2 linked regions of the Sus scrofa genome follow. The protein of the gene in region 1 interacts with the protein of each later gene in a biochemical or structural test. Links are inferred from orthologs where the notes say so. Each region holds a gene or a part of one and is shown in the gene's direction. Other genes may lie near its edges.

What was found.
Region 2: the proteins of SRC (region 1) and ASAP1 form a complex in vitro, tested with the Homo sapiens proteins (2 studies listed by BioGRID and IntAct). The link is inferred for Sus scrofa from reciprocal best matches to the Homo sapiens genes SRC and ASAP1.

What each region holds. Positions count from the first base shown.
Region 1 is NC_010459.5:40,519,484-40,522,995, forward strand, and holds part of SRC (proto-oncogene tyrosine-protein kinase Src), read left to right. Parts: intron 1-455; coding exon 456-532; intron 533-2,316; coding exon 2,317-2,470; intron 2,471-2,630; coding exon 2,631-2,762; intron 2,763-3,071; coding exon 3,072-3,280; 3' UTR 3,281-3,512. UniProt on the Homo sapiens protein: Non-receptor protein tyrosine kinase which is activated following engagement of many different classes of cellular receptors including immune response receptors, integrins and other adhesion receptors, receptor protein tyrosine kinases, G protein-coupled receptors as well as cytokine receptors.
Region 2 is NC_010446.5:10,102,594-10,106,665, forward strand, and holds the start of ASAP1 (arf-GAP with SH3 domain, ANK repeat and PH domain-containing protein 1), read left to right. Parts: upstream 1-1,266; 5' UTR 1,267-1,495; intron 1,496-4,072. UniProt on the Homo sapiens protein: Possesses phosphatidylinositol 4,5-bisphosphate-dependent GTPase-activating protein activity for ARF1 (ADP ribosylation factor 1) and ARF5 and a lesser activity towards ARF6.

The sequences.
Region 1 (3,512 bases):
AACAATCAAGATCTAGAGCTCCATCACCCCCAGAAAGCACCCTTGTACCCTCCAGAGACAGCACCATCTGGCCTCAAACCCAGACAAGCCACTGATGGGCTTTCTGCTTCACAGATTTGTTTCATAGAGTTTCATATATGTAAATCTTTTACATCCAAGGGTTTTCCTTCTTGCGCTGCGTATCAGTAGTTCGTTCCTTTTTTATTGCTGAATAGTATTCCTTATATGGCTGTGCCCCAATGCTGTTTGCCTGGAGGTCCACCTTTGGTTGTTTTCCATCCTGCTTGCCTTTTCAAGAGGGACAAACAAAGGCTTTATTCAGAGATGGGTTTACATAAAATCTGCAGTGCGGTTAAAGCAAGCCCAGCCTGCCCCGGTGAACAGCGTCTGGGAATCACTGCTTCCTGGCTCAGGGGGAACAGCGTTGGGGCTAGAGCCACTTTCTTTCTGCCCAGGGAGTTTGCTGGACTTTCTCAAGGGTGAGACGGGCAAGTACCTGCGACTGCCTCAGCTGGTGGACATGGCTGCTCAGGTGAGTTTGCCCCTCCTGCCTCCCACACCTGGCCTCGAGTGCGCCGACCTGGTCAGCCAGTTCTGGATTCTTGAGTGCCCCCTCCAGGAAGCTTGCCTTGATTGCTCCCACACTTGCTGACCTCACCACATGTATTCCTGGTACCACTTTAGATGCTGTGTGGTGGCTCTGGGCAGAGGAAAGAGCCCTTACCTGGGCATCAGGAGTCACTGACTTACTGTGGAACCTCAGGCCTCAGTTTTCTTCTGTCTGAAAGTCATTCAGTCACTCAACAGACATGTATTAATATTTGCTTGCTGTAGGTACTACTCAACAACTACTTTTTAAAATTTTTATTTCTTGGAGTTCCCGTCATGGCGCAGTGGTTAACGAATCTGACTAGGAACCATGAGGTTGCAGGTTTGATCCCTGGCCTTGCTCAGTGGGTTAAGGATCCGGTGTTACCATGAGCTGTGGTGTAGGTCACAGACGCGGCTCGGATCCCGAGTTGCTGTGGCTCTGGTGTAGGCTGGTGGTTATGGCTCCGATTAGACCCCTAGCCTGGGAACCTCCATATGCTGTGGGAAGCGGCCCTAGAAAAGGCAAAAAGGCAAAAAAATAAAATTAAAATTAAAAAAAATAAAATTTTTATTTCTTTTTTTTTTCTTTCTTTTTTTAAAAATCTTTTTAGGGCTGCACCTGCAGCATATAGAGGTTCCCAGGCTAGGGGTTGACTCAGAGCTATAGCCTCTGGCCTATGCCACAACCACAGCAACGCCAGATCTGAGTTGCCTCTACAACCCGCAGCACAGCTCACGGCAATGCCAGGTCCTTAACCCATTGAACAAGGCCAGGGATCAAACCTGTGTCCTCATGGATACTAGTCAGATTCGTTTCGCAGTGCCAAGATGGGAACTTTATTGTTTGTTTCTTTTCTGTTTTTTTCTTTTCTTTAGAGCTACACCTGCAGCATATGGAAGTTCCCAGGCTAGGGGTGGAAATGGAGCTACAGCTGCTGGCCTATACCACAGCCACAGCAACACCAGATCTGAGCTGCATCTGTGACCTATGCTGTAGCTTGTGTCAACACCAGATTCTTTAACCCATTGAGCGAGGCCAGGGATGGAATCCACACCCTCATGGATACTAGGTGGATTCTTAACCCACTGAGCCACAACGGGAACTCCATATTTTGTATTTCTGGGCCAGGGATTGAAACCAAGCCACAGGTTTGACCTATGTTGCAACCGAAGCAATGCTGGATCCTTTAACCCACTATGTGGGGCCAGGGATTGACCCTGCACCTCTGCAGCGACTCGGGCTGCTGTAGTTGGGTTCTTAACCCATTGTGCCACAGTGGGAACTCCAGCAGCTAGTTTTTATTTAATCCTTATCACAATCAGGGGAGATAGGGATGGCCATTATTCCATTTAACAGATGAGAAAACTGAGGCTCAGGGAAGAGACTTGGGACAACAGGCAGGAGCTGGCACTCATCTGCATCTCTGGGGGCATCTGGGGCCTCTTTTTCATGGTCACTCCACTTTCCTGGCTGCATCTGGTCTTGGGCCTCTCCTTTACCCTTTGCCCTTTCCCCTGTGCTACACCCCCACCTGGTGCTGGTCCTGCTTTTTGTGCCAACAGTATTTATTGTAAACTGACTTCATTGCCTGAAGACCTGGGAAGGGCAGGGTATTTGGTTGTCTGTCCACCCCTGGGGATGGCCCCACCCCTGGGTACATGCCCTGTGACCTGGGAAGGGCACAGGGTCGCCCCTGAACCAGGCTCGCGGGGTTCTGCCTGCAGATCGCCTCGGGCATGGCCTACGTGGAGCGGATGAACTATGTCCACCGAGACCTCCGTGCTGCCAACATCCTGGTTGGAGAGAACCTCGCGTGCAAAGTGGCCGACTTCGGGCTGGCTCGGCTCATCGAAGACAATGAGTACACAGCTCGGCAAGGTGGGCAGGGTCCCGGCAGTGCCGTGTGGCCATAGGGAGTCAGGCTCCTGCTCTGAGCCTCAGTTTCCTCCTCTGTCAAGTGGGGATGAGAATGGTTCCTACCTGGCAGAGTGATCAGGACGTTCTCCTGAGCTTCTCCTGACCCTACCTGCCTCTGCAGGTGCCAAATTCCCCATCAAGTGGACGGCTCCAGAAGCTGCCCTCTATGGCCGGTTCACCATCAAGTCCGACGTGTGGTCCTTTGGGATCCTGCTGACGGAGCTCACAACCAAGGGACGGGTGCCCTACCCTGGTAAGAGGGCGCCTAGCAGCCCATCTTTGGTCCTTCTGCCCCTGCCCTGGGGCCCCTCTGCTCAGGTGACCTCGGGCAAGTCACAGCCCCTCCCGGGCCTCAGTTTCCCCATCTGTATAACCAAGAGGTGGAACATCTGATCTTAGGCTCTCTTTTTGTTCAGGGCTCCCAGCCCAAGGCCAGCTCCCTTCCCCATGGTCACGGCCACCCTGTCCTAGGCAGGAAGCCATCTCTGTTGTCCCTGTCCGCTTCCCCCCGCCCCACTTTTCTCACCGCAGCCAGCCGCTTCACGCCTCCCTCCGCCCACAGGGATGGTGAACCGCGAGGTGCTGGACCAGGTGGAGCGGGGCTACCGGATGCCCTGTCCGCCTGAGTGTCCCGAGTCTCTGCATGACCTCATGTGCCAGTGCTGGCGGAAGGACCCGGAGGAACGGCCCACCTTCGAGTACCTGCAGGCCTTCCTGGAGGACTACTTCACGTCCACCGAGCCCCAGTACCAGCCCGGAGAGAACCTATAGGGTACAGGCTACAGGGCCAGACTGCCTTCTCAGCTTGGATCCTGGGTTGGGTGGCCCCTGACATGGGGTCTCGCCTCCCTCTGCCTGCCCGCCATTGATCCTCTCTGAGGGGCCAAGGACAAGGCCCCTCCGTCTTTTGTGGCATGGAAGGGCTTGGGGCCCCGGGCAGCCCTGGGGGCGGGGTCTGAGGCTGGCGCAGTGACTGTGTCCGGGCCTCCGCCCAGCCACCCGC
Region 2 (4,072 bases), on another chromosome or scaffold:
ACCCCCAAATGTGGCATTTCCGTGGGAAACCACAATGAATCACTCCCACTGGCCACCTAGTCCAGGCCTGACTGGATGAAGATTTACTTTGGTTTTCTCAAAAGTAAGAGGCTTTGTAAAGCCTCCCTGGACTTTTTAACAACCCCCCACCTCGTCCTGACGCTCCCGATTAAGAGCAAAATACCAACTTCTGCAAGGTTTGCTGAGTTTCAGATTTCACCAGAAGGGGGTCTGCCATAGCCACTAACCTTTTCCTCTGCAGAGAGCAGTGTCTGAAATGCTGCAGAGAAAAACAGTCACTGGGTGACACGGAGGGAAATGAAATTTTGAGGCTTTGTGGCTATAGAGGGCACAGCACACCCCTCACCAGTTAAAACTTTCCTTTCTCTGACGTCTCTTTTGGTAATAAAGACAATCATGGCTATCATTTATTTGAGCACTTAGAATGCAGTCAGTCCCCTGACTAGACGCTCGGTTTTCGAATCAAACCTCACTGATTTGATTTGAGGGCGGTATTACTACCTCATTTCACATGTGAGGAACCAGAGGCTCAGAGAAGTTAAGGGACTTACCCAAGGTAACAGAGTTATGAAAAAAAGGGGCAAAGTCCAGCTTCCATCCCAGGTCTGAGCCCAAAGTCCGCACTATTAACCTCCAAACTATTCCTATACTACCTTGACCTGGAAAGTCCATGCCACCTGGTCCCGGGTAAAACTGAGGAAACTAGCAGGGCGGAAGCAGAGAAAGGGGGCAGCCAGGTAAAGTCGTTTCTTTTAGGAAAAAGCGGGGAAATGGCCGGGAGATTGCAAGTTCATCCTCCGCAGATGCAAGCGGGGCCAAGGCCATTCCCGGGTGTCGGAGGGCCAGAGAAAGGCACCTCCCAAGGCCAAGGTTTGATCGGGACAAATCCCACCGCTTCCCCCTCTGAGAGAGGGGGAGGCAGGCCAGGGCCGGTGTGAGGCCCAAGGAGCAGGTCGCCCGACCCCAGTCCAGCTCTCAGGTCCAGGCCGGGGTCAGAGACCCCGCCTGCCCCCGGCCAGCGTGCCGGCGGGCCAAGGGTTAAGCGAGGCGGGAGCCCCCGGCGTGGGGCGGCCGCGGGGCCGGGAATGCTTAGTCAGGATTCCGATTTCCTGTCGAAGTGTTTGGATTTCCTGAAACCCGCGCCCTCCGCCGCCGAGCGGGATCGTCCGAGCCGCGCGCGTCGCTGCGGCCTCCTCCCCTCGGCACATGGTCGCCCGCCCCTTCCTGCGCCGCGCTCGGCTCCCGCGCCTCGCCGCTGCCGCCGCCGCCGCCGCCACGGGCCGGCACTCCGCGCTCCGGCAGCCCCCGGCCCGCGCCTCCCGCCCCGCCGGCTGCTCCGGCCGCCGCCCGCTTTCCGCTCCGAGAGCCACGATCGGCCGGCCGAGGGGAGCCGGGGCGCGGGCGTCTGCGCCGCCGCCGAGAAGCCGGCGCCAAGCCCGCGATGGAATAATGCCCAGCGGCCCGCCCGGTCCCGGTGAGTCGCGGGGCGCCCGGACGGGCTCGGCGGGGCCGCGCGCGGTGGGGGGTGGGAGGGTCCTGGGTCTTCGGCGCCCCCTGCCCGGCCCCCGCTCGGAGAGGAGCCGGCACAGGGCGCCGGGCGGGTCCGGACTCCGCGGCGGGGTGCCTGGTGCGCGGGGAGGGCGCCGGCCGCGGGCTCCGCAGGGCCGGGCTCGGCGGTCCAGGGGGGTCCGCGCCCCAGGGATGCGGGGGTGAGGCCGCTCGGGGCGGCGGGGGGGGCTCCGCGCGCCCTCCCGGAGAGGAGCCCGGGCAGCGCGCCCGGGGGCCGGGGCCGGCGGATGGGGCGCCCTCCCGGCTGCAGGCGCGGGCGCTGGCCGCGGCATTGTCTCCCTGGCGCGGCGGAGCAAAGTTCCCCGCCGTTCCTGGAGCGGCCGGCCCGGCCCCGAGCCCCCGGCCCCCGGCCCCCGGCCCCGGCTGGGACTCGGCGCTGCCACGCAGGCCCCAGGCCACTTGCTTCAAGCGAACGAAAACATTCCCACTCGAGATTTGGGGGTTGTTGACGGGAAGACAGGAAAGTGGCTGGTGTTTGTGCTTGTACCATTTTGGGACCTGCTGCATTTTCGGAGAGCGACGTGAAGTTTCAAAGAAAAAAAGAAACTCACTGGCGTCTGGCATTCTGCGGTTTCATACATCCCGAGAGTTGCTCTCTGGCATTCCTAAAGCGGTTTCCTTTAATAATTTATTTTTCCACTAGCGCAGGGGGATGGAGAGCCAAGTTCAGCCCATCGGCCGCGTGACCTCAGCTTTACCTGCACAAATCAGAAAGAACAAGAACTTTCTCCCACTTTTTTCCCCCTAGACTCGGTCAGGTTGTCTTGGCAGAATGGATTCTGGGATGACAGCGGGGCACGGTTTGCTGAGTAATGTTTGGGGATTGTAAAACATAATTCAGTATGGAGGCCAGTTTTCGCTCTCCATCAAACCTCAGCCCCAGGCCTTTGCACTTTGCAGTTGGAGGTTCATCTTATAGCAAGAAGATGCAGGTCTTCTGGAAGCGTCACATCTCCACAGCTCAGAAAGAAAAAGCGTCCCTGAGAACAGTTGTTTCAGCTCCTTCTTTTTTAAAAAAATGTTTTGTCGGAGTTCCTGTCGTGGCTCAGTGGTTAATGAATCCGACTAGGAACCATGAGGTTGTGGGTTCGATCCCTGCCCTTGCTCAGTGGGTTAAGGATCTGGTGTTGCCTTGAGCTGTGGTGTAGGTCGCAGATGCGGCTAGGATCCTGCGTTGCTGTGGCACTGGCGTAGGCTGGCAGCTGCAGCTCCGATTCAACCCCTAGCCTGGGAACCTCCATATGCTGCGCGGGAGTGGCCCAAGAAATAGCAAAAAGACAAATAAATAAATAAATGTTTTGTTATTATAGTTAATTAACAATGTTCTGTCAATGGCGGCTATACAGCGAAAGTGACCCAGTTAGACATTTATATGCATTCTTTTTTCCCATTATCCTCCATCATGTTCCATCACAAGTGATTAGATATAATTCCCTGTGCTCTACAGCGGGGAGCTCCTTCTCCTTCTCCAGATGAGGCTGGGAGAGGTGATGGAGATCCTGCAAAGTCATGTGACCAGGCTTTAGCCTCCCAGTCTAGTGCTCCTCTTACTAATGTCAGTTTAGGGTATGTCAGCTCTGGAATCTTTGGCAATACGCCTTCTTGGCTTTATAACCTACATCATTTTAGTGCCTTCTCTTGTTCTGTCTTATCTGTTATTGCTGCTATTTTTGAGATATGCCGTTATCTCAAACCGCATATTTTGAGATAAAGAAAAAATTCCCTAACCTCTACTGTTCAGCCACTAAATGGATTTGGAGCTTCAGCCGCCAAATGGATTTGCAATATAAAATGGGCGGCTTATTATATAGGGAATTGCCGTTCTCTATCCCATTCTTTTGTAAGAAATAGAAACTCCCAAGCCCCAAAAGGGGCAGTATTTTAGCACATAACGTACCGTATGATATTCTCTACACTTGATTTCCAGCCCCCCTGTATCTTGTGAGTGAGGCAGCCCATCTATTTTTCTCCCTATGAGAGCTCCGAGTGGCTGCTTTTTCATTTTTAGTATGTGATAATGTTGGAGAGAAAGGACTTTTTCGAAAGCTTGCCATTTGGTGAAGGAAATTGAAATTCTCTCCACCTCCCCACTCCTCACCAGCCACAGTGAACCAGATTTTTTCAAAAGCAGTCAAAGCCTTGTAGGCCCCAAGATGCATGTGTGCATTCAGAGGGGCTGGCTGCTCCCTCGCCCCACCTGAGGACCCACCTCCCAGGTGGCCGAAGTCTAGAGGAAAAAAGGGAACCTGTGTTACCTGGAATCGTTTCTGCATTTTCCCTCCAAGTTCTCAGTGGTATTTGAGTGGATCTGGCTGCCGCATTCTCATTTTTCCCTCCTGTGTTTCTTCTCTCCACTTCTCTCCCAGCCACTCTCTCTTCATGGGCTGGAGAACAAGTCTTCTTCTCGGGGATGCATGAAAGATCCTCATGTAAGCAACGGTGACAGTGACAGCTAGCATTTATTGAGCACTTGCTGTATGCC